Regions from separate parts of the Mus musculus genome. Here regions 2, 3, 4, 5, 6 and 7 are each reported to be linked to region 1. Evidence: microRNA targets listed by miRTarBase, many of them from high-throughput screens and not tested one by one. Region 1 holds a microRNA gene; each other region holds the end of a gene's coding sequence.
Evidence for each region. The annotated mature microRNA mmu-miR-297b-5p reads AUGUAUGUGUGCAUGAACAUGU and lies in region 1 at 2,209-2,230, opposite strand. An mRNA with a match to its seed (bases 2 to 7 or 8) in the 3' UTR can be bound and repressed. Matches are read on the target gene's strand: a 7mer-m8 pairs with bases 2 to 8, a 7mer-A1 pairs with bases 2 to 7 and ends in A, and an 8mer does both.

Region 1 (4,520 bases):
ACTACTACATAATCTATAAGACTGTAAATCACATATCCTCTGTGTGTGTGTGTGTGTGTGTGCACGCACGCGCATGCAAGCGCACATGCACGTGTGTCTATGTATGCTCTCATGTATATGCATATTCATATACACACATGTACATGTACGCACACACAAACACACATGCACATACACAGGAGCCATCACATGAATGCCAGGCTGATCTCCAACTCATCATGCAACCAACATGAATTTACACTCTTGATCATCCTGAATCTGGCAAGGGTCTTTACCTTGTGAGTGAGAGCATTCATTGGCCCAGCACGGCATACTCTCTAAAACTCACATGTCACATGTCACATGTCACTCAAAATGATCTATGGGTGCCATTTCTGTGTGTGTGTATATCTGTGCATGCTTGTATATGTTTGTGTGGATGTATATGTATATTCATATACACACATGCACATGCACACAAAACTATACACACATGCAAATATATTGTGGGGAACCCCATAAAATCAGGCTGATCTCTACTCTCTTTTGAATTTATTTATGAATATGAATTCCTGACCCCTCTGAATATGGCAAGCTTTTACATAGTGAGAAAAACTTTCATTTGACCAGTACTACATAACCTTTAAAGCTCAAAATCACATATCATTCAAACATATCAATGAATTCCATTCCTTGTGTGTATGTGTGCATACGTGTGTCCATATACATGTATGTTTATGTTATATATATATATATATATATATATATATATATATATATATGTATATATATATATATATATATATATTCATTTACACAGATGTACACGCACACACATGTAAACACACATGCACATACATGGGTGGCATCACAGGAATACCAGGATAATCTCTAACTGAAGTTAATCATGAATTTGAAATCCTGATTCTCCAGACTTTGTCAATCATTTACAGCTGGTGACTGAGACCATTCACTGTCCCACTACTGCAGTCTCTAAAACTCTAAGTCACCTATCATTCAAATGGATCGATGAGTGCCATTCCTGTGTGTGTATCTGTGCTTGCTTGTATATGTTTGTGTGGATGTATATGTCTATTCATATACACACATGCACATGCACACAAAACTATACACACATGCACATACATTGGGGAGGATCCCATGAAGCCAGGCTGATCTGTACACCATTTTGAAGTTACTCATGAATTTGAACTCCTGATCCATCTGAATATGAAAAACATTTTACTGGTAAGTAAGAAGTTTCATTGGCCAAGTACTACATAATTGCTAAAGCTCTAAGTCACATATCTTTCAAACATATAAATGAATGCAATTTTTTCTCTGTGTGTGTGTGTGTGTGCTTGCATATACACATGTGTTTATGTTATGTATATTCATGTCAACACATGCACATGCACATACAAGTAAACACACATGCACATACATGGGTGGCATCACATGAATACCAGGATGATCTCTAACTGAATTAAGCATGAATTTGAAATCTTTATCCTCCTGACTTTGTCAATCTTTTACACCTGGTGGGTGAGACCATTCAATGTCCCCTATTGCATAATCTCTAAAACTCTACATGACTTATCATTCAAAGGGATTGGCGAATGCCATTCCTGTATCTGTGTATGTGTGCTTGCGTTTATACGTGTGTGTGTATGTTATGTATATTCAAATATAGACATGAACATGCACACACAACTATACACACATGCACATACATGGAGGAATCACATAAATCACAGGCTGATCTCTAAATTCTCATGAGGATAAGTATGAATTTGAACTCCTGATACTCTTAACTCTAGTAAGCATTTTCACTCTAAGTCACTTATCATTCAAATGGATTGATGAGTGCCATCCCTGTGTGTGTGTGTGCGTGCGTATCTATGTGTGCGTGTATGTATATGTATATTCATATACACACATGTACATGTACGCACACACAAACACACATGCACATACACAGGGGCCATCACATGAATGACAGGCTGATCTCTACCTCATCACGCAGTTAACATGAATTTGCACTCCTGATCACCCTGACTCTGGCAAGGGGCGTCACATGGTGAGTGTGACCTCTCCCTGGCCCAGTCATACAGAATCTCTAAGACTCTAAGACACATATCATTCAATAGAACAATGAGTATCCATTTTCTGTGTGTTTGTATGCATGTTTGTATGGGTATGTGTGTATGTATATGTATATTCATATACACATGTTCATGCACACATACATATACACACAAGCAAATAGATTGGGGGCATCACATGAATCCGAAGTTGATCCCAGACTCATCATGAAGTTGAGAATGAATTTTGACTGCTCATCCTCCTGACTCTGGCAAGCATTTTTACCTTTTGACTAAGAGCACTCACTGGCCCAGCACAGCATAATTTCTAAAACTCTAAGTCACCTGTCATTCAAAATGATTGATGGGTGTGTGTGTGTGTGTCTGTGTATCTGTGCTACTTCTATATGTTTGTATGGATGTATATGTATATGCATATGCACACATGCACATGCACATAAACTATACACACATAAACATACATTGGGGGGAACCCCGTGAAGTCAGGCTGATCTCTATGTCATTTTGAAATTACTCATGAATTTGGACCCCTGATCCATCTGAATATAACAAACATTTTTACTGGTAAGTAAGACGTTTCATTGGCCCAGTAATACATACTCTTAAAGCTCTAAGTCATATATCATTCAAACGTAACGACGAATGCAATTTCTTCTGTGTGTGTGTGCCTGCATATACACGTGTGTTTATGTTATGTATATTCATATCAACACATGCACATGCACATACAAGTAAGCACACATGCACATACATGGGTAGCATCACAGAAATACCAGGATGATCTCCAACTGAAATTAAGCATGGATTTGAACTCCTGATCCTCCTGACTCTGTGGTTTACACCTGGTGATTGAGACCATTCACTGTCCCACTACTGCATAATCTCTAAAACTCTAAGTCACCTATCATTCAGATGGATCGATGAGTGTCATTCCTGTGTCTCTGTGTGTGTGTGTGCTTGTGTTTATATGTATGTGCATGTTATGTCTATTCATATACACACATGCACATGTACACAAAACTATACACCCATGCACATACATGGGTGGCAATCACATGAATCACAGGCAGATATCTATATCCTCCTGAAGATAAGCATGAATTTGAACTCCTGATACTCCTGATTCTAGCAAGCATTTTTACCTAGAAAATGACAGCACTCACTGGCCCAGTACTGAATAATTTCTAATATTCTAGGTGGCATATCATATAAATGGATCTATGAATGTTATTCGTGTGTGTGTGTGTGTGTGTGTGTGTGTGTGTGTGTGTGTGTGTGTGCACGCTAGGGTTTATATGTCTATGTATATGTTATGTATATCCATATAGACACATGAACATACACACACAACTATACAAACCTGCATGTACACTTAAGGCATCACATGAATCACAGGCTTATCTCTAAATCATGCTGAAGATAAGCATAAATTTGAACTTCTGATACTCCTAACTATAGTAAGCATTTTCACCTAGAGAATGAGAGCACTCACTTGCCCCATACTGAATAATCTCTACTACTCTGAGTGGCATATCATTTAAATGGGTCAATGAATGCCATTCCTGTGTCTGTGTGTGTGCTTGCGTTTATACGTGTGTGTGTATGTTATGTATATTCAAATATAGACATGAACATGCACACACAACTATACACACATGCACATACATGGAGGAATCTCAGGCTGATCTCTCATGAGGATAAGCATGAATTTAAACTCCTGATACTCTTAACTCTAGCAAGCATTTTCACCTAGAGAATAAGAGCACTCACTGGCCAAGTACTGCATAATCTCTAATATGCTAAGTGACATATCATTCAAAGGGATCGATGAAAGCCATTCTTGTGTCTCTATGTGTGTGTGCTTGCGTTTATACGTGTATGTTATGTATATGCAAATACATGCATGAACATGCACACACAACTATATACACATGCACAATCATGGGGCCATCACATGAATCACAGGCTGATCTCTAAATCCTCATGAAGGTCAGTATGTGTTTTAACTCCTGAATACTCTTAACTCTAGCAAGCATTTTCACCTAGAGACTGAGAGCACTCACTGGCCAAGTACTGCATAATCTCTAATACTCTAAGTGACACATCATTCCAATGGATTGATGAGTGGCATTGGTGTGAGTGTGTGTGTGTGTGTGTGTGTGTGTGTGTACTTGCATTAGTGTGTGTATGTTATGTATATTCAAATACAGACATGCACACACAACTATACTCACATGCACACACATGGGCGATATCACATGAATACCAGGATGCTATCTAGCTGAACATAGGAGTGAATTGGAACTCCAGATCCTCTTGACTCTTTCAATCGTTTACAACTGGTGAGTGAGACAATTCACCGTCTCTACTTCAAAATCTCTAAAACTCTAAATCACTTATCATTCCAATGGATCGATGAATGGCATTCCTGTGTCT
Region 2 (4,520 bases), not on the chromosome of region 1:
CTCTCTCTCTCTCTCCTCTCCATCCATCTCTTTCTTTTTCTCCTCCATCACTCTCCTCCATCAGAACTGTATTTAATATTGTTTTCTCACAAAATCTTTGGCTATTTTACAGAAATGTATTTTACCAAGACTATTATTGCTACCCATGAAAGATATTTAAATGTTACTTTACCATGAAATACCCATGTGTTTTGTACCAACTCTTTCAAATATCTACATAGTAAAAAGTCATATTTCCTCTCTGCTATTTTAATTGCTACATCGTTTTCTGAATCCAAAATATTAAATTACAAATGGGAAAATATTTGATAATATTAATAGCATTTCTGTGATTTCTTGGTACTTAGCGTTTCAATGTGAAAGTGGCAATAGACAACTTATAATCATATACATAGCCATTTTGATATTATAATACCTAGGAATGTAGTATGAGGTCACTAAAGAAGTGCAAATGTCCCTTATCTGCTCTAACATTTACAGAGAGATGAAATGATATATATGCTTCTGTTTACCCAGATGTCATTTTTTTTTTTGTAGCTATTGTTGTGCTGTATGTAGCACTGAGGAGGCAGAGGAAGAAAGACACCCTTATGACCTCTAAAGAAGACATCAGAGACAATGTCATCCATTATGACGATGAAGGAGGTGGGGAGGAGGACACCCAGGCCTTTGACATCGGGGCTCTGAGAAATCCCAAGGTGATCGAAGAGAACAAAATTCGCAGGGATATAAAACCAGACTCCCTCTGTTTATCTCGTCAAAGACCACAAGTGGAAGACAACACAGACATAAGGGATTTTATTCACCGAAGGCTACAGGAAAATGACGCAGACCCAGCGGCTCCACCATACGATTCCTTGGCCACTTATGCGTATGAGGGGAATGGCTCAGTGGCAGAATCACTCAGCTCCATAGACTCTCTCACCACAGAAGCCGACCAGGACTATGACTATCTATCAGACTGGGGACCCCGCTTTAAGGTCTTGGCAGACATGTTTGGAGAAGAAGAGAGTTACAACCCCGACAATGTTACCTAGGGGAAAAGGAAAGGCTGATACACATCTAGAGGAGAAAGTTTTGACAAAAATAACACAGATAAAACACAATCACACACATACACACACACACACACACACACACACACACTCCCAGATTTTGCAGGACAAGACTTTTTTTGATTATCCAGCTTCTAACAAGTTGCTCTATTTATCATATTGTCATTTTGGTTTATTATGTAGGCACAAGGTAAATCCTATGATATGTACTTGCTTTGTTTTGTTTTGTTATTTCAGAAACACACTGAGACGAGCTCAGGCCTATTAAATGCAATTCACTGACATGACAACCTAGAATGAAGATAGCTATGTGGCGTCACGGTGGAAGAGTGTATGATTTTTCTTAATTCCACTAAAGTGCCTATTGAAACTCTTATCCTTATAGTGGTGTTCATAACACTCCGCTGTGGTGGCTTGTCAGGAGTCGAAAATAAGGAGGAAGAAAGCAGACAGTGTCTCTACGTCAAGAAGCAATAGTGACATGCTGACTCTCAGTTCTTTTAAGAACAGAGAATGCTTCCCAAACTCTATCTTCTTATACAGCAAAGCTTTTCCTTTTGTAAATTGCAAACTAAAACAGAAAGGCTTTTCCAATCCTTTCAGAAACTGGGATAAATGAGACATTACTAAATTCCATATGTAAGTTATGATTTCTAAGAGTGATGCTTAAGTCATAGCATTCATTCATGTGAAAGATGTTAATTAAGGTGTTAGTTTTTCCAAAAAAAAAAGAAAAAACAAATAAAATTATACTGAAGGAAATAAAAAGAATCCCTCTTTATAAAGAGAGGCCTCGGGGCTCAAATTCCAACATCAAATAAATATCGGTTTGTTTAATTCTATGCTGGTATATGGACATTGGTTTTAACAAGTCATTAAATAAGTTAAGCTTTCAGTGATAGATTAAAATTTCAGCTTGTGTTTCTACTGAAGTTTCTGAAAGGAAATAAATTATTAATTTAAACATGAGAAAATTCAACATTGTCATTCTCAGAGTTTCTATCTAGTGGTTCTTTGATGAATGATTCAAACAAAATGCATATCAAATACTGTAATTTATAACAAGTATATATGCTTGTTCTATACTACTGAACAATAAGTCAGGGACTTCAAAAATAAAACCAATGACTAAAATCCCAAAGGGAACAAAACTTCAATGCCGGGCAGCTGATTCACTTTCTCTAGTGATGCGGATTTTATCATTATGAACTCAGTTATTGTATCAGCCCAGAGTCACCTCTTCATTATCTCATCTACAAATATCCTCATGTAAATTACTCCTTGTAACTCTTCAGATAAAATGTCTCCACTTTATCGAAATGTCTAAGTGATGATATAATTCATGACTATATTAGTAATAAACATTGTTCACATCAATTCAATAGGAATTATACATCATTTAGACATTCACAGGATACAACAAATGCAAATTTACCATAAAGTAATATCTATTCTTAACAATGTAGTTGGAATAACGAACAACTTCTACCTATGAACACGTTGGAAAAAATTAAAGTTAAAGAGCTGTGAATCACATATCACTAATGTCTAATTTTATAATAAATTTCTGTGACTATCATTATTATTTGTGCGGCTATAGAGATAAAACTCACACACTATGGAATCTAAGAAATTTACAAAATTAGACAACTTAATTTTAGGCATATTCTAAAATGCATATTTTAAATTATTTACGGTATAGAAATATTACCCCTTGTTTCTATGTTCACCATTTTTAGACTCTTTTTCTCCATTTTGGAATGGGAGATTCAATTTTTGTTTTCAGTCATCACTCCATACCTCTCTTGTTCCAATTTTCATGTAATAAACAAATGTATTTAGTACTTTACATTTGAGAAAAATCACTTATAATTGCCATGCTAGAGAAGAAAAATTAATGACTTGTTTCTTATTTCATTATGTACAGATAATGTCTTCTTGAAGAAGACCACACACTATTAAGACCTGATTCTTGTCAAAAACTATTACACTTTGTATCTTGACAAGAAATAAAATAACCTTCTCATGAAGTTGCTAGCAGAAGCCATGATAACCTAGAGATTTGAGAGGCTGATGATTTTAAACCACATGACTATGAAGATAGTAAAATATGCAATGTGTGGCTCTTAGTTCTCATCACACTCATATCTTTGTAATACCCTACATTACTTCATCAGCTCAAAACAAATGTTCACAGACAAAGTGAATAACAACAGTTTATTTCCTCAGCTCTGATGGCAGGTTTCCTCTTACCATCTTCTCCTGGTAGTGGAGAACATTACCTTTTCTTTCCCACTTCTTCTCATTTCTGTGCTTATTTCTGTTTCTCTTCTCATAAGGACGATCTTCATATTAGAGCAGCATCTACCCACAGGTCCTCTGTTTGCCTTGTTTAATAATAAAGGCCTTACCACCAAGTCCTATTTGGTTTGGTACTACCGCATGTGGATTCATGCAATCCCAATCTCAATATATTAACAGTGTTTATTTTCTAAATAGCATTTTAGTTACAACAATCAATGAAAGAAACATAAACAAGCAGAATGATAAAAGTAATATATGATGTGGAAAGGAGATCCTTTGGTGCTTATAATTAGAGGAACTATGGTATCTTTTAGGCTACTGAAAGGACTTAGCCCAGTATTTCAATGCCTGTAATACCTTGGGAAGTTTTTTTGTTGTTGTTGTTCATAAAACAGGTGTTGACCTTCATTCAAGCATTAAGCAATATAAAAATATTTAAAATTTGTATGAATGATTTTAGCTATATACAAACAGCAATTTTGTTATTGGCGTGCATGTCTATCTTTATAGAGATACATATGTACATGTATATATATAAAACTTATATGTTGCCTTCAATGCTACTCAAAGAAGTGTATAGTCAGCATCCAAAAGTGAAGCAGTGTTGATTGATGTACTAAAGATAATCTGTGTGTTTTGAACCATTCCCCCCTTTGACTGAAAACTTCCTATGGATCAAATTACTTGGCCTTCATTCTTTTATTTTCTTTAGTAAAACCAGTTTCCTATATTCAGTGTTGTGTACAATTAATCAGAAATTTTCTTGTCATTAAATTACAGTAATGGTTGAAGTATATCAAATAGCTTACCTACAGACTATGCTAATTTTAAATGCAAAAAAATAGATCATAGTATATATTTTTTGACTCATGTAGGGATTTGATTGATCATTTATCAAAAATCACTAGTTCTACTTAGAAAACCACACAATTAATTTTTATCAATATACCTGAAAATTCTTCTGTGAAATCAAAAGATGAAAAAGTGTACAGGAAGAGAGACAAAGGATCCTAAAATATGTGAATGCAGATGTTGTGTGAAGATTTTCTTTTTCCTTAAATATTATGCTCAATTTTCAACACTTGTAGAAAATCTGGGCTTGACATGCAGTACCATGGTGCAATAGTTAATTTGCACAAGCTCTGGGTTCTGTCCCAGGAG
Region 3 (4,520 bases), not on the chromosome of region 1:
CCACCGCCTTCCCCAGCTCTGGCTTCCTCAGCCTCCCCAGCTTCTCCTGTTCTCTCCCCCACGCAGCCCTACGAGCTTCCAGATGGCTCGGTCATCATCAACGCCCGGAACCAGAATAACTACCATTGCCGCTGCAGGATCGTCCTCCGCAGCTATGACGCCTGTGACACCCTCAGGCCCCGGGATGTGACCTTCGACCCTGAGCTCGTGGACCCTGTGGTAGCTGCAGGAGCACTAGCCACCAGCTCCGGCATTGTCTTCTTCTCCAATCCAGCCCACCCTGAGTTCCGTGAGTGCCTGAGGGTGGAGTGGGGGTTGGGGGGCGCCCCGTCTGAACAAGTCCTGGACAGAGCAGAGACCCTCCTCCCTCTGACTATTGCTCTCCTAGGAGTGAACCTGACCCTGCGCTGGAGTTTCAGCAATGGTACATCCTGGCAGAAGGAGAGGGTCCAGGTGTGGCCGGGACCCAGCGGCTACTCGTCCCTGACAGCCCTGGAAAACAGCACGGATGGAAAGAAGCAGCCCCCGCAGCTGTTCGTTCTGTACGAGAAAGGCCTGAACCGGTACACCGAGAGCATCTCCATGGTCAAAATCAGCGTCTACGGCACGCTCTGAGCCCCGTGCCCAAAGGACACCAAGTCCTGGTCGCTGACTTCACAGCTCTCTGGACCATCTGCAGAGGGTGCCTGAAACACAGCTCTTCCTCTGAACTCTGACCTTTTGCAACTTCTCATCAACAGGGAAGTCTCTTCGTTATGACTTAACACCCAGCTTCCTCTCGGGGCAGGAAGTCCCTCCGTCACCAAGAGCACTTTTTTCCAGTATGCTGGGGATGGCCCCTGTCCATTCTCTTCCAGGACAACGGAGCTGTGCCTTTCTGGGACAGGATGGGGGAGGGGCTCCCCCTGGAGAGATGAACAGATACGAACTCAGGGAACTGAGAAGGCCCGGTGTCCTAGGGTACAAAGGCAGGTACTAGATGTGATTGCTGAAAGTCCCCAGGGCAGAGTGTCCTTTCAGAGCAAGGATAAGCACACCTACGTGTGCACCTTTGATTATTTATGAATCGAAATATTTGTAACTTAAAATTTTTGATGCAGAAAAAGCGTTTGTGGAGTCTGTGGTTCTGTCTGCTCACGCCTTCCCAATTGCCTCCTGGAGAGACAGGAAGGCAGCTGGAAGAGGAGCCGATGTACTTACTGGGAAGCAGAAACCCCTAGATTCCATCCTGGCTGCTGCTGTTTGCAAGTGTCAAAGATGGGGGGGCGTGTTTATATTTTATATTTCTAAGATGGGGTGGCATAGGAAATAGGGAACAGATGTGTAAAACCAGATGGGAAGGACAGTCTGTGAGAAAGGAGCAAGCAGTTGCTGCAGGTGTGGGAGAGCAAAGCCCTTCTCCACGTGGAAAGAGCCCAGATGGACGCTAAGCATGTTGGGCACCTGTAACCCCGCACTCGCTGGACTGACGGTGTAGCTCAGTGGTGGAGCTAGTACTTGGAACGCCTAAGACTCTGGGTTCAGTCCTTGGGGGGGGGGGTATGTGTTTATTGAGAGGAAGGTGTACGTACTGTAGGTCAGAGGACAGCTTACTGGAGTTGTCTCTCTCCTTCACGCTGTGAGTCCTGTGGAATGACCTCAGGTGTCAGAGTTGGGGGCAGGTGCCTTTGCCAGCTGAGCCATCTTGCTGTCTCTGCTTTAATTTAAAAAAAAAAAAAAAAAAGAATATTAAGGTCTGAGGGATTCGGGCTGCGTTCATTTCAATTAGAGGGTCATATTTCTTTTGACATTTCTTCTCTAAGAAATGTTAAGATCATTTGTTCTGTGTGATAGAGGTATAGCTCCATTGTATGTCAGCAGTGAGGGATCCTGTGCATTTTATCCAGAGTTTGTACGGTGTTCTAGGGGCTGCTAGTGCAGCCCAGTGCTAAACACTTCAGCATGCACAAGGCCTCAATCAGTGCATGCATGTGCACACACACACAGACACACACGTACACACTGACACAGGTACACAAATACACACTGGCCCACATGTACACATCGACTCACAGGTACACAGACCCACTTTGACACACATATACACAGACACAAACGCACTGGCACACACATATACACAGGCACACATGGATAGATGGACACACGTGTACACATACACACACACACAGAAATACAAATGTTCAGGTTTTCTAAAAAAAAAAAAATTAGAGACGTGTTGACTTCATTTTTAGCAAAAATCCTGTCATGTATCTTAAAGTGGATTGAACCCACTATGTAGCCCAGGCTGGCCTCCAAATGGGCATCCTTCTGCCTCAGTCTCCCGAGGGCTAGGATAACAGGAGTATGCCATCACACCTGGCTAATAGAAATTTTCAAAATTGTTTGTTTGAAGGTGACTCTTACTATATTGCCTAACTGATCTCCAGTTCGTGAAATCCTCCTGCCTCAGAACCAGGACTGTCAATATAACCCACCAAGACAGGCCAACATTCACAATTGATTGTTAGTTTGTGGTCTGAATCAAGGTCTTATACTGTAGCCCAGGCTAGCCCGGAATACACGATATCTCCAGTGCTTCAGATCCTCAGTTCTAACTAAGCATGGCCACATCCATGTTTAACTGCAAATTTGATGTTACCATGGTTTGGTTTGGTTTGGTTTGGTTTGGTTTGGTTTGGTTTGGTTTTTTGGCCATTTTTTTTTTCTCATGCTGAGGCCTTGTGCTCTCAAGTTGGGGAGACAGCATGGAGGGTAGCTGCAACTGTAACCCCAGTTCCAGGGGACCTGACACCCTCTGGCCTCCACAAGTATTAGGCACATCTGTGGTGCACAGACATACAATCAGGCAAAATATTCATACACATAAAATAAAATAATTTAAAACAAAAGCAAAAATCAGGACCTAAGAAAAAAATCTATTCCTGATTCTTTTATGTTTTGTTTGTATTTTATCAAGACAGGGTTGTTTCTCTGTATAGCCCTGGCTGTCTTGGAATTCACTCTGTAGACCAGGCTGGCCTCAAACTCAGAAATCCTCCTGCCTTTGCCTTCCAAGTGCTGGAATTAAAGGCATGCGCCACCACGCTGGCTTTGATTGCTGATTTTGCCACTCTTTTAATCTGTCGCAGCCTAACCTTTCTGTTTGTTCAGTAGGTTGCTTGATTTTTGTGCCATCCAGACAAAACAGCAGGTTGTCCCGTGGGATGGCCCTTGAAGGAGTCACCTAACATCTCCCTCCACCTCTGAAGGTTTGGCTGCATTCAGACACCTCTTTGGGAGAATAGGGGTGCCTCATGTTTTCCATGTGCTGCCCACTGCTCCCCCACGCTCGCACAGCCTGCCCTCCTTCCGTGTAGAGACTGAGCACAGGGCTGAGGTGGTACAGCAATCTTTGTAAGGTTTGCTGGTAACCCTCCCAAAGCAGCAATCCCATCCTGCATGCGTTGTCTGCTACCATATTTCATGGAGTTGCAAATGAGTGGTTTTTACTTTTATTTCTTCCTGAAATAATTTATAACCTGAAATCCTTCAGTTCAAAGAAACACACACACACACACACACACACACACACACACACACACAGAGAGAGAGAGAGAGAGAGAGATGCAAAGAATCTGGATTTGACTCCTAGCACCCACAACCATGTGTGACTTTAGGACTTCAGTTCCAGAGGATCTGATATCCTCTTCTGACCTCTGTGGGCACCAGGCACATACATATATACATACATACATACACGCAGGTAAAACATTTATACACATAAAACTAAAGTAAATCTAAAGCAAAAATGAAGACTTCAAGAAAAAGAGAGAGAGCCTTCTCTCCTCTGGGCTGTCTGTTAGCTGGTGCACGGTCTGTACAGGAACCACAGCCTGTGTGGGCTCGCTCTCCCTTAATTGAGCAGTTCTGAGTCAGTTGATGTAACTCATTGCCCTAGTCAGTAAACCACAGTGTTGCCCAATGGGATACATAGAAAGGCCCTTCCCTGGCCTGCAGAGGCAGACAGAGGGAGTGAGGGAAGATGCTTGACAGTAAGACACCTAGCAGGCTGATGGGTTAGCTCAGTACAGTGCTTGCTTAGCATGCGTGAGGCTCAGGTACAATGTCCAGTCCCTGGGCTGGTGGTAATTCATGCAGATCACTAAACAGATCACTGAACGAGGAAGAATGGAGGTCATGACCACAGCAATTGGGACACCAGTCCCATGACTATCGCCACCCAAAATTGCATACCTACCTGCCAGTCTTTTGCTTTTTATATGTTGACCCAGGCCTCGTTCCATAGCCTGGGACTCATGCAATCTTCCTGCTCAGCTTCTTGAGCTGAGATCACAGGCCCAGCCCCAATAGTAGAATTGGTGATAGCAAGATTGGCCCAGTGGTTACTTGCTATCAAGGCTGATGACCTGAGTTCAAAGCTCTGAGCCCACAGGGTGGAAGGAGAAAACTGGCTCTAGCAAGGTGTTCTATGACCACCAAACATGCCACAGCATACCTGCACCCACCACCCCTACAAAACA
Region 4 (4,520 bases), not on the chromosome of region 1:
CTAGCTGGTTTGCTCATGGCATTCAGCCTTTCCTTGCCCAGGTAAGACACCTCCTCATAAAAAAGAACACTTTCCCCCCATTTTACTAAAAGGGTTTTCTGTCTGTGTTTTAAGTCAAGTAATGATTATGTAAGTACATTGTCAGGGGCTTCATAATTCAGGGACATTTGCTATGAAGTTGATTTGTTTTGAGTTTAACAATTTTCCTTCCTACCTGTTTATGTATTTGCAGGTTTTTTTTGTTTGCAGACTTCTCCCTGTTTGGTGCTGCAACATGAGTGGGAAATCCCTTCTCTTAAAGGTCATCCTCTTGGGTGATGGAGGAGTTGGGAAAAGCTCACTTATGAACCGTTATGTAACCAACAAGTTCGACTCCCAGGCTTTTCACACGATAGGGGTAGAGTTCTTAAATCGAGATCTGGAGGTAGATGGACGCTTTGTGACCCTCCAGATCTGGGACACTGCGGGGCAGGAACGTTTCAAGAGCCTTAGAACACCATTCTACAGGGGAGCCGACTGCTGCCTGCTAACCTTCAGTGTGGATGACCGGCAGAGCTTTGAGAACCTTGGTAACTGGCAAAAAGAGTTCATCTACTATGCAGATGTAAAGGACCCAGATCATTTCCCCTTTGTGGTTCTGGGTAACAAGGTAGACAAAGAGGATAGGCAAGTAACGACTGAGGAGGCACAAGCCTGGTGCATGGAGAATGGAAATTACCCTTATCTAGAAACAAGTGCCAAAGATGATACTAATGTGACAGTGGCCTTTGAAGAAGCTGTTAGGCAGGTGTTAGCTGTAGAGGAACAGCTGGAACATTGTATGTTAGGTCACACCATTGATTTGAACAGTGGCTCCAAAGCAAGTTCTTCTTGTTGTTAGAGGTAGGGACTCTTGACAAGTGTGCAATAAGTTGGTCAGTCTGTTGTGTAAAAACGACTGTGCTCTTTGGTAGTATGAACACACACACACATACACACACACACACATGCACACACACACACACACGTACATGAAAGCATGCTCACACAGGCAATTGCATACACACAGGTACACACAGACACATACATGAAAGTACGTGCACGCACGTGATTGCATACACACACACATACACACACACACACACACACACACACACACACACATGAAAGTAAAAGATAATGTTCTGTTTTTGAAACAGAACCTTTCAAATTGAAGTTGTAAAGCGGTTTTTTAAAAAGCTTTATTGAGCCAAGTGTATTTTGCGTAATTCCTGCTATTTTCCCTTCTTGTGTGGCTCAGGACATATCAGAAAGTTTTAGTCCTGAGAGATTTAAGTATTTTTAATCACAGTTTAAACCTAGAACCCAGCCGCATGAAGGAGTGAAAGAGCTTAAAGTGTTCCATTAACCAGCTAGCAAAGGCCACCAACTCTTGCCAAGTAGTTTATGTCATTTCTACCAAAGGGAAAATTAGGATTCTGAGCTGTGTTACAGAAAATAATGGAAGCAAGAATTTCTAAACATGTATTAGAAAAAGGTGGTGGTGATTAAGAATATAGATGTATAAAAACACACTGACATGTTCAAATCCTTACGTATGGTTTACTCTCTTATGAACTTAAGAAAAATCATTTCTATAAGAATTACTCTAATGACACTGGAGGTTGGTTCTAATCCATGTGAGTCACAGGACACTAGTGAATGGATTACGCTTAAATATGCCAACCACATTTGCAAATACATGGTTGGCCTGCTTTTCCTTCATTAAGTCTACTGCTGCTGCATAGAGATGTTGCTTCCTTGACAACTTATCAATTTAGTGATGCTGCTTAGTATGTGGCTTCGGGTGCAGTGCTCTCTGCCTACATTTTACACAGTCCTATAATTCACCATGCTGGCTCATGCAGAAGGCCTCAGAAAGGATTGGAGAGTAATGGGCTTTTCTCACAGGTTCCTTAACTCAGTTGTTTGTTAGATCTCAGATCTCAGATCTCAGAAGGATCTGATTCTTAGAATGTCCCACCAGATGTTCAGCTGGCCAAACTAGGACATTAAAACTGGCAAAAGAGCAGGTTTTTTTTTTTTTAAACTTTGTGTTAGGATGAATTTCTCGTAATTAAATTTGTTCAAATGTGGAATAGATTGCCTTAATTGTGAACTCCCTCCCAATAAAAGTAGTCACTGGCTGACTATTTGTTAAAAAGAATTACTGAACTGGCTACATGTTTGGTATAAGGTTTCTTCATGCTTTCGTTCTGAATATAAACTATGTCAGTGCCATGTCCTGGTTGGACTTACATGAAAGTAAAGGTTAAGACCATAGAGAGGGCCTTCAAAAATCCTCAAGCCATTCTGGGATTAGCCTTTAACAGCAACTATTATTTAAAAATATATCCCAAAGGTACAATGTTCATACCAAAAATGGTTTGACAATTTTTGAATACCATGACTGCCAATTGTATATACTATATTCTGAGTGTGTCATCTGTTTCTTTTTTTTTTTAAATTGGTTGATCTGCATGGATTTTAATCTGTGCTTTAAAACATGTATGAACCAATGTAAAGAGGGACAGTTAATTAGTTAAGGCCCTCCAAAGAGATTTAGGCCTGGGATTGGGTGGGAGCATTCACAGGAATACAGCCTAGAATTCTCCATTGTAGCCACACATGGAATCAGCCTTACATGTGGGACCTTACGTGCTTTAAGAACTCTGGTACTTTTGGCCACATAGACAAAAGTAGGACAGTATTTATTTCAACTCAGACTTACTCAATATTTCTAATTATTGTATAGTCCTGACCCTATTGTCCAATTAATTTAGATGCCAGAAGTCAAAGCCAGAACTGGGACCCCACAACTCTTAAATATTGGTTCCTATCTTGCCTATGCCTATAGCCAGCCACACTGGTTTCAATGTTCTACAGTCATTTTGCTACAATCATGTTAGGGTGAAAATCTGTACGTCAGAACTAATAAATGGTAATTATTTTTTAAGTGCATGAGACCTGGGGCCTTCTCTTTCTACTTGCACTCTGCTTATAATAGTTTCTATCTGTAGATCTCAGGCCTTCATAAAGATCTCCATCAGCTCACACAAAGTATTTGTCTCTGTAGAGTGGCATGTGGTCATGTGAGTAAAAATAAAAGTATGTGAGGATTCAGTTCATAGACATGCTGTCCATTGAGACAAGTGTTCATTTTATTAGCAGGCATATCGAAGCCCCTTTCTTCTTAGCCATACTTTTTTTTCTACCAAATTACTTCACAATATCAAGCACTTAACAATATGTGACAAAACAGTGGCATTTTAGTGAGTAACACTCAGTGGGTGTTGACATAGTTTGGGTAAGATTTAAAAACACCAAAAGCTGCTATCCTTGGTACCAAGAACTGTGCATATGTGTTCAGAAATAGACTGTATATCTAGAATGTGCAATGAAATATTTTCAATAGGTGTTTTTAATGAACACTAGATGTTTGGGATCAATGTATTTCTAATTAGAAGTATACTGGTTTTCAATAGTCCATTAAAATATCATATAAAATATTTATTTAGTTTATTGCCATGTATTGACTTTCAAGGGGCTTCAGATTCCATATGTCTTCAGCGGATTGATGAATTTCAGGTGTCTTTGTGCCTGCCTTGGCCATCTCTACTTTATTCTGAGGTATTCCACCATCCTCTTGTTGCAGGTGCTGCTAAAAATCTCAAAAAATGTGGATAAGATATTTTGTTCCAGTTGTTTAAAAATCATCTGTGTCAAAGTAAATAAAAAGTGCATTTTGAATAACCAGCATACAATGGTTATGGGGTTTCATTTCTCTCCTTTTTTTCTTTTGCACAGTTTGTCAGTATAATAGATATACCTGTCAGTCAAGCTCCTCACTTAGATGGTACTTGATGTGGTCTCTGGATCATTTTTTATGTGATACTCCAATGGCAGTCCCAATTTTCTTGCAGTAGTGACTGAGAAACAAACTCAAAAGATTTAAAGTTAGATATTCCTTTTATTTTATTTTATTTTAGATCCCTCTGTAATGCATAGAGAGTGCTGGAATCAGAATATAGACCTTAATCCTCCACTTTATTTTTAACCATAGTTTAAAAATATTAAAATATTGTAAATATAAATAGACTATACACAGTATTTTTATTTTCTTGACTGATAAATGACGTAGACATTAAACATATGAAAATATAGATAAAACAGGTCAGAACAGATAGTTTTTAAGACAAAAATGTTCTATTCTCTTGGCCATTAATGTTACACTAAGCATCAAATGGCTTGAACGGATATAATAGTGACATTTTAATGACATTTATTTATTTATTTATTTATTTATTTGTGTGTGTGTGTGTGTGTGTGTGTGTGTGTGTGTGTGTGTGTGCATGTCATGGTAGGTATGAAGAGATCAGAGGACAATTTTCAAACTCAGGTCACCAAGCTTGATGTCAAGTGTCTTTACCAGCTGAGCCATCTTGCTGGTCCAGCAAGATTTAAATTATGGATGCAAGTCTCCCCATCATACATGATTCATC
Region 5 (4,520 bases), not on the chromosome of region 1:
GTTTGGGGACCTATGCCCAGTTAAGATTCACTTATGTCATTTGCCCCGAGGACTGTGTTTATGCAACCCCACTGATATCAGTGACAATGTTCTTCATCCAGACCCTTGGAATTGACACATCATGTAACATCACGGGGGCTTGGGGAGGAGGGGTAAGGATGCAGCCATTCTGTAAGCATGTGGTTGCAGATGGTGGTGTGAAGAATCTTACCCCATAGGCACCTGTAATTGCAGGAAAAGTGATGCGCCACAGTGATCATCCCAGTGAGAGTGCTCATAAGCATCCACAGGGGACATGGGGTGCCATCCTAGCAGACACACTATGGGCTATAGCAAGGCCTCCATGGGTGAACTGGAGACCACAGAGACGGGAATGAGTTGAATCCATAGGCTCCAGACTTGGAAGGGGGCTGATGAAAGCCACAGACTCCTGCTGACATCTGTTTTCCTCTTCTTGTTTGCACCCAGCATGATTTACACCTTAGTGAGCTCCTAACTCAGACCCTGCTGATGGAGAGGCCGAAGCTGGGAACCACTGCGGCTGTGGCTAGAGGAGCACCAGATGGGGATGACGGAGAGACCCAGATGGCAGAGACCGAATGAAAGGAACGGGAGTCATACAGCAGTCAGAGCCATGTTACCCACGTGTGTCTGTTTCTGCCTTCGCATTTCACATCCCACATGGGTTGCAGGGCCCCTCTGAGCATGGGCGTGCCAGCTTGTAGCTGATGAAACACTCAACCTCTGGAGATGCCATTATTACTTCCTTCATCCACTTCACTGAGCAGCAGAACTGTGCGAGTTTCACATGGAGAGCTCGTCTGGATGGTAGAAATGAGGCCAGATGCTGGCAGGTGTCGAACAAGGGACAGAATGGCTCAGGGCCAAGGCCAGATCTTCAGGGATGGCTGAGACCCACAGGGACACCATGGGCTGCCCAAGACTCTTGTCATTTTTTTTCCAGAGCTGTGGTCACATGCTTTGCTCAGTGCAAGGCAGAAAGCTGTGGGGACTGCCCTGAGCCACCTCTCACGTCACTTTTACGCTCTGTGTCCAGGAGCCTGGGCTGTGGCTTCCTGAGCTGGGTGTGGCAGCAAGCCCTGTCCAGTGTGAACTGGGGAGGGGGAGAAAATGGATTTCTAAAAATGTCTGCAACATGTCCCAGGTGTGAGTTCTTCACCCTCCCAAGATGTATTCTGCCACTGTGCCAAAAATTCATCAGAGTCATTACATGCCAATCAGCTGGCTGGCATGAGCCAAAGCAAAAAACAAAACAAAACACCAAACCAAACCAAACCCCTCAAAATAGTGCGAAGCCCAGAAACAGAGAGCTGCTCTGTGTGTGGGTATGGACAGCCAGGAAGTGAGACAACACAATTATCACATCCATTGATGCTTCACGGCCTTTGTGCTCCTCAGTTCAATGTGGGGACATCGCTTATTTAGAAATTTCCACTTGACTTTTGCTCCTTTTTTGGGTGGGAGTTGCAGGACAGGTGTAAATACTGACAAGGCTGAGTTTTTATGATGCTTAAACTGGGCACAATGATTTTAACCTGATTCCCCAAACTGCCTTGCTTTCTACCATTACACACACATACACACACACACACACACACACACACACACACACTATTTATATATGTACTGGTTCCCATCTGAATTCTGTGACTCAGTTTTTTGAATGGTGTTTGTGTAACACATTGTGTGCTATGTTTAAGATGCAGCAACAACTTGAGTGGCTCACCTCATCTCATTTCAACCCACCCCCGGGGTATCCATATGGTTGGCAAACTAGTAGGTAGAAAAGCGTTTTTAAAAAGAAACAGTGTTTCTTAAAAAAAAAAATTACAGAAAACAAAATAGAGAGAAAAAAAAAACTTGCAAGAAAGAAGAAAAACAAAAGGCTGCTTTTCTGAGGGGCCAGCTGTATCAACCACAGCCGGTTCGGGAGAATGCAGTCTAGGAGGACAGGGAGAATGCGGTCTTTCCCTTGGCAGGAGCTCTTACTACTGAGGGTAACTTGTTGAAGCTACACAACCTCAGCTGGGTACCTTTCCCAGGGATGGCTAGTCACATCAACAAACAGTGGAGGTCTGAGTGTCAGGTGCAAAGCTAACACCGTCATCATCTTGAAAAAAAAAGAGAGAGAAAGAAAAGGAAAAGAAAAGAAAGACATGGAGAACATAAGGAAAGGGGTCTTCTTTCCTCTCTTCAGGAATCTCTTTTACACTCCCCTCTTCCAAAACTGCTTAAAGTCGTTTTTGACAGGAGACACCAATATCAGAGATTGTTAATGTGGACTTGGGACATTCGAACCTACAAAGGAGGTCTGTACCATATCCTAACTTCCTGAGTGGTCAATTTAACATCATCCCTCAGCAGTAAATGCTTCATACGGCAGGACTTTACATCTTCTAGACCACTTTCCTAGCACACTGAACCCTCCACTTGGCCCTCTTGTTTTCTGCTTTAAAGTGGGGGAGTTTATAAGGCCTGCCTATGAACCTGGTAGCCGACTTTAAGAGAACATGACCTTTCTGTTCCCACCAAAAGCTTTGACTTTTATGAGGAAAGATTTTAAAGCAGAGAGCTCTAGCTAAGGGACGTGCGTGGTGGTTTAAGGGGATGCGTGTGAGAGATTCTTCCCTTAGTCCTTTGAAATCCTTAAGCATTGCTGATGCCTCTTGGGCAGGTCCTACCTTTATGAAAGAAAAACATTCAAAGCGTTCCCTTGCCATCCGTTGTGATTGGAAAATAAGTCCGGTGATCTCATGGGAGTTAGAGCAAATCCTCGGTTCCCCAGGAGAAGTTCATTTTCTTGATGGTAAAAATAAGCAAGATGGGGCTAGTGGCAGAGCACAGGTGTGTGCCAGGCGCCACAGTCAATGGGAAGAGCTGTTTCCAGATGTGCACAGCTGGTCCGAGGCGGGGCTTTAAAACCATGCAGCTGGACCTATTTCCACAGAGTTTTGCTTGTTTGGCTAACATTCTTTCGTTGTGCAGCTCATTTAAGGAAGGAGGGAGCAAGGCAGGAGAAATGCCTTAAAGTTCCCAGAGCCTCAAGAATCCAAAGGAAGTGTTTTTGTTGAGCAAGTTAGAACCCATCTACTGAACTGGATACTTTAGGGGTATAGCATGTGCCAGTACTGGCCTGGAAGTATGGGCCCTCTTCCCCTGCTGTGGCCCTGTGCTGCATGTGACCTGGATGATGGAGAGTCACAAGGTCACGTTTCCCTTTGCTAAGGTGAGAGAAGAATAACAGGCTCAGCCCCAGCTTGCTATAAGGATGGTGTGACTTCATGTCCGCTGCACCTGGTACTCTAGAGAGGGAACTGTGCCCTGTTCTCTACACTCTACCCAATGCCCCAGCTTCCTGCCAACCACTCGACTGATACACATCTTATTCAGTCCTCACAGTGACACTATGACTGTCTTTAAATGATAGTTGAAAGCTTTGATACAAACCCTACAGAGGTCAAGGACCCCAGCCAAAGTCAACACTTGCCAAGTTGTCAACCTGAGTCATTTTGCTTCTGGGACCTTGATGTTTCTGTATTCTCAAAAGAGCCATGCAGTGCAGGAAGGGTGAGGGGATGTGAAGGAAAAAAGAGTAAGAGAGAATGGAGTGATGATGGACAGGGCAGGGGCTGAGCAGCAGGCCTCCCAGGACTCACAGCAAGTGACCTGGAGGGCCTGGCTGCAATGAGAAAGTCTGGGGCTGGAGAACCGTGTGGTGCTTCATCTTTTCTGAGACGACTTCTCATCTGTCACATGAGGTGTGTACCGCCTCCCACGGCTGTGACAAGTCAACTGTGTCTAGGGAGCTCATAGCAGAGAGCCTGGCTCTACAGTCTTGTCCCAGGAAATCTCATTCCTGGTCCTCCCTGCACTGCTCCTCCCTCTGTGCCAGATGATTACATGGGGGGGGGGAGGGGGAGGGGAGGGGAAGGGGAGAGGAGGGGAGGGGAGGGGGAGGGAAGGGGGAGGGGGATGGTGGAGAACAAACCTAGCTGTGTCTCATAGGAACGCAGAGCACTGTTCACCAAGTCTCAGCTTTCTTCCTGTCCTCTCCCCTTCCTGGGGGTGGGGTGAGGGAGTCACTGTCCCAGCCGTGCAACAGGGGTAACAGCTCAGCCTCAAGAAAAGTATCCCATTTGCTCCCTATTTTTAGGCTTGGTAATTGCACCAATGTTGAATAAAATTGTCATCGTTATGACAGTTTTATTCTCCCACGTAAGAGATGAATGCAGCCAGCAAAACGCTTTGACAACAACTAATTGTACTCACTGTGTTATCACGCAGATACGTTCTATAGCCCTTTCTTTTTTGGTGGGGAGGGGAGCTTTGGCCTGTTCTGTTCCACACTGTGCTCTGGCTTGTGACTCTGTGTAGAACCTCCCCCCGTTCCTCAGAGCCAAACCGGCCATCTTTCCCATTGCTTCTGCTCCAAAGTTGAGCCCCAAAGTGAAGTATGGGAGATGGGTAAGGAGGGACGGACTCTAGGTTGCTCTTATAAC
Region 6 (4,520 bases), not on the chromosome of region 1:
CCAGGAAGGGGAAGAGGATGATGTGACAGTAGCTACACCTTCCTTAGCTGTCCGTTGCGACTATGACCGTTGCCGCCACCTGCAGGTGTCCTGCCAGGAGCTGCAGAAGGTTGGGCCAGTAGCCTGCCTGTGCCCAGGGCTCTCCAGGGAAGATCAACAGCCAGAGCCTCCTCGCCTGGGAGAAGTGCAAATAATGGCTGAAGAAGGCTACGCAGTGGTTCACTGGTGTGCTCCCTTCTCTCCAGTCAGCCACTACTGGCTTCTGCTTTGGGAAAGCAACGGGGCTCCACAGAAGAGTGCCCCTCTCAATGCTACAGTTCGAAGAGCAGAGCTGAAGGGACTAAAGCCTGGGGTTGCTTATGTCCTTTGCGTGGTGGCTGCTAATGACGCAGGTGAGAGCAATGTTCCTGGGGCAGAAGTCGAGGGTCCTGAGAACTGGACTGGCCCTTCCTTTGGGCCCTGTCGCAAGTTTATCATGCCGCCTAAGCCTGTTACCCTGGTCTATGCAGCCGTGGGAGTGGGCACAGCCTTAGCTCTGCTGAGCTGTGCAGCCCTGGTTTGGCATTTCTGCCTTCGTGAGCGATGGGGTTGCCCCCGACGTCAAGGTATGGCCCAAGCGTCAGAAGCTCTCTGACAGGAGTCCCCTCGACTACAAACAACTCATCTGGAGAGCCCAACCCACTCCCAGGAGGAGTGTGGGGCTTGTTGCCACCTGGCAACCAGAGGCACAGCCAAGCCAGAGCGGAAGCCCAGGCAATTAGCCTCAGCACTGAGGGCTTGGTTAGTCCCTAACTGGTCACTATGTTCCTTCCCTGTTGGGGGTTAGAAAAAGTAGCAATTATTCCTTGGAGGTCTGATGAAAATGATTTAAGCTTTATGGGTTTGAAGGGGTAAAATTACAGACATTATACATGAACTTATATATAGCCAGTTAAAATGGAGCTATTTAAAGGCCTGGCATGGTGGTTTACAATTTTAGTCTCCAGCACCCTGGAAGCAGAGGCAGGCGGATCTGAGTTTCCAAAGCAGCCTGATCTACATAGAAAGATTCCAGGCCAACCCAGATAATATAGTGAGACCCTGTCTCAAAAAGAGTAAAACAGAAGCAAAACAAACAAAAGGTGGGGCGGGATAGAGAGATTGTTCAGCAGTTAAGAATACTGGCTATTTTTCCAGAGGACAGAATTTTATTCCTAGCATCCACATGGCAGCTCACAACCATCTGTAATTCCATTTCCAGGAGATCCAGTGTCTAATTCTGACCTCTGCCAGCATCAGGCACATACATACGCACACATACATACATACATACATACATACACACACACACACACACACACACACACACAGAGAGAGACAAAACACTCATACACATAAAATAAAAATTAATTTGAAGTGTAGCTGTTTAAAAATGTAAACTGTTCATAGCTCATAGGTCTCTCACAGCAAGCAGCAGACTACATTTGGCCTGTTGGCTGATTTGCCAACACCTATCATTCTCAAAGGGACTTTGTGACTGTCGGTGGCTTCCCTGCATATTTTGAGAATAAGCTGAGTTTTGCCAACACCTGTTATTCTGAAAAGGACTCTGCGACTGTGGGTGGCTTCCACGCATATTTTGAGAATAAGCAGGGTAGATGTGGAGACTGGAGCTCTGTCTTTCTGCTACTTGTTGTTTCCTTCCTAAGGATGATCCTGCTCAGACTCCACCTGGGGCTATGGAAGCTGGGGATTAAAAATCAGCATGGGCTGGAGGAGACAGGGCCCAAGCTTCTGGCTACATAAGTTAGTGGTCTTGTTTGTTTTGGGGGTTTTTGTTTGTTTGTTTTTTCAAGACAGGGTTTCTCTGTGTAGCTCTGGCTGTCCTGGAACTCACTTTGTAGACCAGGCTGGCCTCGAACTCAGAAATCCGCCTGCCTCTGCCTCCCAAGTGCTGGGATTAAAGGCATGCGCCACCACCGCCCAGCAGTGGTTTTATTTGTAACTAACAGTTTATACCAATGACTCCCCACAACTTTGTGTAATTGTTTTTCCACTGTATTAACATTAAAGGGAATCTAAAATCATTACATTTTCAGTTTCATGATCTTGTTTAATTCCATATAGATTTTTTTCATTATGACTTAGACTTTTGGCCAAGATTAAAGGTATGACTATTTTTCAAAGTAATATACAGACTTTTGTGTTGTGTTTGTTTGAGACAGAGATTCACTGTATAGCCCTTTATAGTCCCAAACTCCCTATGTAGAACCAGTTGGCTTAAAACTCACAGAGCCTGCCTCTGCTTCCTGAGTGCTGAGATTAAAGGTGTGTGCCACCACCCTGGGCTGTTTTGGTGTTTGGTTGTTTGGAAACAAAGCTATTATTACCCAAGTTCTCAATAAGTGAATAAGGGAACCTAGGAAAAAAATTAAAGCCACCCCTGAAGTCAGATGTAATGGTACACAGACTTTAATCTCAGCACTTTGGAGGCAGAGGCAGGAGGATCTCTGTGAATTGGTGAAAAACCTGGGCTGCAGAGTTCCAGGCCAAGTAGGACTGACTACCTACCCAGTGAGGCCTTGTCACAGAATCGGTTACTTGCTCAGGTTTTCTTTGTCTATTATTCTCATTGAAAGTATCATTGTTTAAGCTAGGTGGTGGTGGTGCACCCCCTAATCACAGCATTTGGGATGCAGAGGCAAGCAGAAAGATCTCTGTGCTGGAGGTCAGCCTGGAGGTCCATAGAGAGTTTCAGGACAGCAGAGCTACACAGAAAAGCCTTGTCTCAATAGAGATAGATAGATAGATAGATAGATAGATAGATAGATAGATAGATAGATAGATAGATAGATGACAAATAGGAAAAAAGAAAAAGAAAAAGAAAGAAAGAATCATTGTTCATCTTTTAGCTTTAACACACACTAAAACTAGCACTGCTCTTAAGCAGGTATTTACAAACCTCAACAGGAGTCTTTTAAGTGCCCTCAGCACCGTGCATGTGGGTGACAGTGTGGCACTCACCTGGAGCACCACCAAGCAGCCCGTGCAGGTTCCAGTACACTTGCTTCTGCAAGCAGGGTTCACATGGTTTAGTCTAGCCCTGCTTTCCTTCCCAGGCTTTGCCTCAGCTACTTGGTGAGCATTTAGAGCATGAGAAAATAGCTCTATCATCTTTAATTAGAAAGAGCATGCATTCCCAGGTGAGTATGTTGGCTTCACAGTTAATTAAGAAAAACTTGTGCTGTTATGAGTTCTATATGGAAAGTACTGAGAATTTTGGTTTCTTTAAAAACACAGATATGTTATAGGAACACGTTTTTGTTTTAATCCCAGGTGTGGGATATAGGGCTGCTTTAGATTGTCAACAGCAACCAGCTATGATTTTTCTTGTGCTCTGGCAGCACATAATTCTGGGGACTTTTGATAGGGTATAAAAATGCCAGAGCCCCAAGAGGTTGCAGGGGCTGCTGCAGCAGGCTGATTCCTACTGTTGCTTTTGCTGTTTGCTGGATTGCTGGTTGGAGATATCCTGAAGATTGGACTTGTCCCAAGGAACTTGATGCTAATAATCAGCAGGAAGTAGTCTAAAGAGATTTATGCCTCTAGGCTGGAGAAATGGCTCAGCGGTTAAGAGCACTGACTGCTCTTCCAGAGGTCCTGAGTTCAATTCCCAGCAACCACATGGTAGCTCACAACCATCTGTAATGGGATCTGACACCCTCTTTTGGTGTGTCTGAAGACAGCAACAGTGTACTTGTATACAATAAATAAATAAATAAATAAATAAATAAATCTTTTTTTAAAAAAGAGAGCGATTTATGCCTCCTTTTCCCTTTAACCTTTCTTGTCTACCTAGTGTTGGGTTGAAAGGGATTGGGGTGGAATAAGAGTGGTAGATAAAAGAACCCATGGTAGCCAAAAAGTATAGTTATGGTAATAAGTGGCGCCAAATGGGCACTAGGCAGAATGGGAAACATGATTTTCCCTCCCCCACTACTTTGCTCCCAGAGAGGATTTTCTATTTCTTCTTCCTCTTCTTCTTCCTTCTCTTCCTCTTCCTCCTCCTCCTCCTCCTTCTTCATGTCCTGTCTCAAAGCTCAACAAAGGTTGAGAGAATGAATGACTGAGCAGTTTGAAAAGTTGTGAATGGTCTATCGAAAAACAAAACAAAACAAAACAAAACAAAACAAAAAAGTTGTGAATGGAAATGAAGGAATAAAAATGATAAAATGGGAAACCAGAAAAGTCTATTCTCTCATTTCTGAAAGGGTTACAGAAGTGACCATGCAACTGGAGAGGTTTCAGGTAGAGGTAGAAGCACTTGGGCAGAGAGTAGTGCCAGAAAAAGTATAAATAAAAGGTTCAGATCTGGCGACTGAGAGTGGGAGCTTCAGGCTGATTTGAGAGAAAGGGTTATCCTTGAGCCAAATGTGCTGCCAGAGGAGGGAGGGGCCTGGGATTACAAAGTCACCATCAGTTTTCCCAGTACATTGTACAGCACAGGACTGCTAATGGTGCTGATCATGATGAGATAATGT
Region 7 (4,520 bases), not on the chromosome of region 1:
ATGGAGCCGTATTTGTGCACAGGGGTTACTGTAACACCCTGAGTCTGGGCTGAGCAACAGTTTCTAACGCAAGAGCTAATGTTACCAGTGATCACTTGGCTTTCTTTCTTGATGTTCTTTGGCAAGGGCCACACCTAACTGGGGCTAACACATTAGGCCAAATACTTCTAGTGTGTGTGTGGGGGAGCACTCTGTGATCCAGCACCTCCATTTCCCCATCACTGAACGGAAGCCTTCACATCCTACTTAGGGTGGTAGCAAGAGGGCCTATCATTTGTCACACCACTTAACTCTGTAGGGGGCAGTAGAATGTTGCAATTAATTAAGACTTCCAGAGAGAGGTACCCGGGTCTAAATCCCACCCCTCCCTCACCACCAGTGAGCTTTGGGTGACGAATCCCCTCCGCCACGTGGAGACAAAACCAGCGCATCTTTCACGGGGTCCTTACAAAGAGCAAGCAAGTTGGTTTTCATGAGGCATTTATTTACAGCGGTACTTGTCACGTAGCAAGCGCTATGAAAGTGTGAGCATCTTTTATTATCATCGGCAAAGCTTTTTCATTGGTTTATTTGACAAGCTCCTGGAAACAAAACAAACAAACACTTTTGTCTCTCTCTCGGGAAGTCTCTTAGGAAGCTCTTTAGAGCCATGTCTGACTTCCACCAGATTTGTCATTTATCTCAACCATCTCTGGTGGCCTGGTTTGGACTCCTCCCCTACTTTCTCCCACGCAGGCAGCAGGAGGATTCTCCTATCTTGGGAAATCTTGCTGATCTCTCATTTTGGTACCCATTTCCGCCTCGGAAGTGTGAGCTCTTTCAAGGCCCTGCCTTTGTACATTCAGAATAAAAATAGATGATGCTGTTCTCTCCCAGTTCGGCTTCGGAATCCTACTTGGTCCTGCTGTCTTTTCCTCCCAGCTCCCTGACTTCCCTTTGGGCACTTCTCAGTGATGGACCCCTTGGGCTGAGAAACTGGTATTCTCTGGAGGCCTGTGGAGTTTCCTGGAGAGGCAAGGGCTGGGAAGACAGAGGCTTTCCAGTGCCTGATGCACACAAGGCTGATGCAGAGAGTCCTAAAGCCAAGTCTCACTCAAAGAGGCCAAGTGCTTGCCTCCTTAGGATGGGTGGCTGAGTTTATTACCCAGGGAAAAGGGATCGTAGTCCCAGACATAGGTTTATGCTGATATCCAGGGTTTCCTCATAGCCTGGCTCAGCTACCAGAGCAGTGGAAACAGGCTCACTACAAAGCAGCCCGGGACCATAAGTTCAAATTTTCTCCAGGCCTGGAGATGCTTCTAATTATATGAGCCCAGGTAAATCACACTCTCCTCTGATGTCAGGTTCTCATTATAAAGGAGTCGAACTAGCTTATCAACTTTCAGACTTTCCCTCCTGTTGAGTAGTAAGCCAGATCAATGTGTTCTGCTGCTAAAATCAAAGGTCTTTCTCTAGGGTTTTTTTTTTTTTTTTGTATGTGTGTGTGTGTGCAGTAACAATAATCATTAATATACAGTATTTTCACACACACACACACTGCTCTGAATCAGGTGCCACCACCCTCAGTGTTAGAACACAGTACAGGTGGGGTCTAATTCTGAGAACACCTCTGATGGAATGACTTTAAAATAAAGCCTTCTGCATGCCGTAATGCAATATGGGAAAGCCATTCTCAGATGTTTTCCGCTTGAATTCTGGGAAACATAGGGCCAGGTGGACACTAAGGGTTCTTCTGATGTTAAATGTGATTGATCTCAGGATTTTCAGGGAATCTGGGGCTCGTGGGGCCATGCTCCGTCTGACCTTAGCCCTCTATTGGTGCTTCCAGTGTGGCTGCATTCCCTAGGTCAAACATTCACTGGAAGGTCCTTCTGTGAGTCCCCCTTATGAAGAGAACCTCCTCTGCATGGGTCCCCCCACACCCCCACAACGCATGATCAGCAAGAAGTATATTTGGGGTGAATGAGACCAGGGTTCCAAAGTCCTGGACTGGGCTACTACAGAGGAAGAAATGGAGTTTGAAGATACGTCCCTAGCCCATCACCTGACCGTTTCGTAGGTCTACATTGACTTTTGGGTGGTAGAGTGAAGAGTCAGGAGGAACTGGACCAATATCACTGTACCACAAGTTCTAACCTGCCCCCTCTACCTTTTCCCTGAGGTGGGAGAGCTCATGTCTGGCTTTACACCTGAAAAGCAGACTTGGAGGTCCATCTGGGCCACTGTTGGTTTTCTGCCATCCCATTCCACTGGGTGGAAAGGGTAGCTTTTATTGGTAAGTGGGGTGGAGATGTGACACTGTTGCTCCAAGTGGGGGTGATGGAGAAGCTGAGATAACTTCTGGGATACTCTTGGTGATCAAATTGTAAGGCCTGGGTGGCTCAAGGACCTGCTTTCCTGGGTAGGTGGTAAGGCACTGGCAGGGGAAGGGATGAAGACAGGGCTAGGGACGTTCTGAAAGTTGGGGTCAACTTGGTCCTGACACATCTAATAGCTATAGAGGAGAGGAGGGGTCCCAGTAGCTCCAGGCTTCAGACACCTCAGCTTGGTGACAAAGATAGATGGACCTCCATTTGTTGTCCTGCTGGGAGGCTGGCTTTGCCTGCTCCTCATTGCTTGGGCTCTGTATTCCATTCCCTGGGGACTTTCCAATGGTGGTTTCTAGGTCCCTGGTTCTAGGGATGGGGGAAGAAGTCCACTTTACCAGAGGTACTGGACTTGGGGACTTACCATAACAAAACCTCAAAGGTGGGAACTGCAGGGCTAGGGAGGGCTCCTTGGTTAGTGTGGTAGAGTATTTGGTCATCTTGGCAGTGAATGAGTCCATGAGTATACCAGCAGAGGAAGGAGGCCCCACAGTGACTGACTCCCCTGGGTCAGAATAATACAGACAGGTGGCAGGAGGAGACGGGACACACTAGGGATGATGGGTAGGTTGTGTACCCTTTGTAGGCAGGGGCAGGAGTTCTCACCAGGCAGGTAGGTTTGGAATCGGGGTAGGTACAGGTACCTGTCCCTGAGGAATGGACTCATCTCTTCTGCCTGCCTCCCTTGACACAAGCAGTGGCCCCTTATGGCGGAGGCATTCCCTAGGCAGAGCTCTCTGCCTTCAGCCTCTGCCCTCTACCCTCTTCCCCCCATCCCACACTTGAGTTTCTTTGTCAAATAAACAGCAGTGTCTCCTAACTGAGATCTCAAGGGACAGGAGCAACCTGCAGTCTACAGGAAAGGGAGATCAGGTGTGAGGCTGGGCAGGAGAAAGGATGAGCCAGACAGACACGGGCCACGGCAGAGGAGGAGCTGAACTCCAGGAGGGGCAGGAGGCACTGCTGGGCTGCAACCAGCCCAGGGCCTGGGCACAGGGCCCCAGAGGAGCGGCCCTACCCAGGCACCACTGCAGGCCACCCTGGTCAGGAGATCTCATTGCCGAACACCTCTAGCACAAGGGGTGTGAGCTTCATGCTGTTCTCCGGCTGGAAGGAGAGGGAACGGTACTGTTTGGAGTGCTCCTCATTGAGGCTTCGCAGGTCAGCCAGCTTCTGGATCATCTTGGCGTAGAGCTGGTGGCTGCCCGGGGGCGGGTGGCGGCAGCGGATGTAGGTCTGCAGTGTGTTGGATAGGCGGTCCTGAATGGCTTCAACCAGCTTAGCATCCTGTACCCCAGGTCGGTCTGTGTCACAGGATGGAAGAAGACAGGATGCTTGTGGCTTAGTTTTACAGTATCCACCACACAGGTGCCCTATGTCAGCATCTCCCCCGTTCCCCATAACATCCCCTGCATTTAGGACCAAGTCCTTTCCTGGGCTCATCTGGTCCTGTCCCTACCTCATCCCATTCCTTCTGTCTCTAGGTTCAGTCTTTGCTTTGGTATCCAGGTACTTCCCACTCTCGCTAACAGATCTCCCCTTTGCCTGGGCATCAGCTCTTGTCTTTCCCCCTGGCTGACTGGTTATCACAGAACAAACTCAAAGCTCTTCCTGAAGAAGGCTGTTCCTGATAACCCTCCATCTCCGTGACCCAGATCTATGCAGGATCTCTCCAGTAGCATCTTCATATTCAAAACTCTCATTATAGTGCAGATGGGTCCATACCAGCATTTACTTTTCCCTAACTCTCAGAAGTCTATCCTTTTTCCCATGACTCCCTGTGCCTTGCCCAGTGTCTGGCCATAGTAGGTGCTCAGTAAACCATCATGTGATTAAGTGAGCACATGCCATCTGGACCTCAGGAGGGAAGCCTATGTCTATCCCTTGGGCCTTCAGCCTTGGTATTCCTGGCCACAGGCCACTAGATTGTCCCCTGTGTGCACATGGTCCAGGTTGAGCCAGGGCTCTGTCCTTTGGGCTTTATCACCAATATAACATCTCCAAGACCACAACAACTTCCTTCTCAGTACCTCCCCCCCCCCCCATTTTGGCCTTCAAAGTCAACCCAGGCAGAAGCATCAATTACTCCCCAAGGATTTGTGCCCTGCCTCTGAGGAACCACAGATGACTGGAAAGTTCATCTGGGGTCACACT

Region 2: the mRNA of Cdh12 is a reported target of mmu-miR-297b-5p. Seed matches in the 3' UTR shown: 7mer-m8 at 1,113-1,119.
Region 3: miRTarBase lists Neu1 as a target of mmu-miR-297b-5p. Seed matches in the 3' UTR shown: 7mer-m8 at 2,151-2,157 and 8mer at 2,834-2,841.
Region 4: miRTarBase lists Rab9b as a target of mmu-miR-297b-5p. Seed matches in the 3' UTR shown: 7mer-m8 at 969-975, 7mer-m8 at 1,061-1,067 and 7mer-m8 at 1,105-1,111.
Region 5: the mRNA of Cnih3 is a reported target of mmu-miR-297b-5p. Seed matches in the 3' UTR shown: 7mer-m8 at 1,596-1,602.
Region 6: the mRNA of Lrrn4cl is a reported target of mmu-miR-297b-5p. Seed matches in the 3' UTR shown: 7mer-m8 at 1,281-1,287, 7mer-m8 at 1,295-1,301, 7mer-m8 at 1,299-1,305, 7mer-m8 at 1,303-1,309, 7mer-m8 at 1,307-1,313, 7mer-m8 at 1,311-1,317 and 1 more.
Region 7: miRTarBase lists Vdr as a target of mmu-miR-297b-5p. Seed matches in the 3' UTR shown: 8mer at 1,472-1,479.

What each region holds. Positions count from the first base shown.
Region 1 is chr2:10,509,396-10,513,915 of GRCm38, reverse strand. Mir297b (microRNA 297b) reads right to left here and starts at 2,249; the gene lies at 2,141-2,249. All of the region lies in intron 10 of Sfmbt2 (Scm-like with four mbt domains 2), which reads right to left. It overlaps Mir669a-2 (microRNA 669a-2), which reads right to left and starts at 3,752; the gene lies at 3,656-3,752. It overlaps Mir466d (microRNA 466d), which reads right to left and starts at 1,949; the gene lies at 1,854-1,949. It also overlaps Mir669m-1, Mir669m-2, Mir669c and Mir466n.
Region 2 is chr15:21,585,445-21,589,964 of GRCm38, forward strand. It overlaps Cdh12 (cadherin 12), which reads left to right. Exons shown (of 12, transcript NM_001008420.2): 12 at 538-4,089. The coding sequence ends at 1,037. Among named protein-coding and RNA genes, the nearest start is that of Gm41278, 410 kb to the right of the region's middle.
Region 3 is chr17:34,934,217-34,938,736 of GRCm38, forward strand. It overlaps Neu1 (neuraminidase 1), which reads left to right. Exons shown (of 6, transcript NM_010893.3): 5 at 67-289; 6 at 389-3,081. The coding sequence ends at 615. Among named protein-coding and RNA genes, the nearest start is that of Neu1, 5.2 kb to the left of the region's middle.
Region 4 is chrX:136,857,404-136,861,923 of GRCm38, reverse strand. It overlaps Rab9b (RAB9B, member RAS oncogene family), which reads left to right. Exons shown (of 3, transcript NM_176971.3): 3 at 233-3,777. The coding sequence starts at 275. The coding sequence ends at 880. Among named protein-coding and RNA genes, the nearest start is that of Rab9b, 8.9 kb to the left of the region's middle.
Region 5 is chr1:181,458,757-181,463,276 of GRCm38, forward strand. It overlaps Cnih3 (cornichon family AMPA receptor auxiliary protein 3), which reads left to right. Exons shown (of 6, transcript NM_001160211.1): 6 at 469-1,885. The coding sequence ends at 496. Among named protein-coding and RNA genes, the nearest start is that of Ccdc121, 50 kb to the right of the region's middle.
Region 6 is chr19:8,851,746-8,856,265 of GRCm38, forward strand. Lrrn4cl (LRRN4 C-terminal like) reads left to right here. Exons shown (of 2, transcript NM_001013019.3): 2 at 1-2,164. The coding sequence ends at 634. Among named protein-coding and RNA genes, the nearest start is that of Lrrn4cl, 3.2 kb to the left of the region's middle.
Region 7 is chr15:97,853,962-97,858,481 of GRCm38, forward strand. It overlaps Vdr (vitamin D (1,25-dihydroxyvitamin D3) receptor), which reads right to left. Exons shown (of 10, transcript NM_009504.4): 10 at 466-3,670. The coding sequence ends at 3,411. The region is part of intron 1 of Gm33690 (a long non-coding RNA gene); the gene reads left to right. Among named protein-coding and RNA genes, the nearest start is that of Gm33690, 8.7 kb to the left of the region's middle.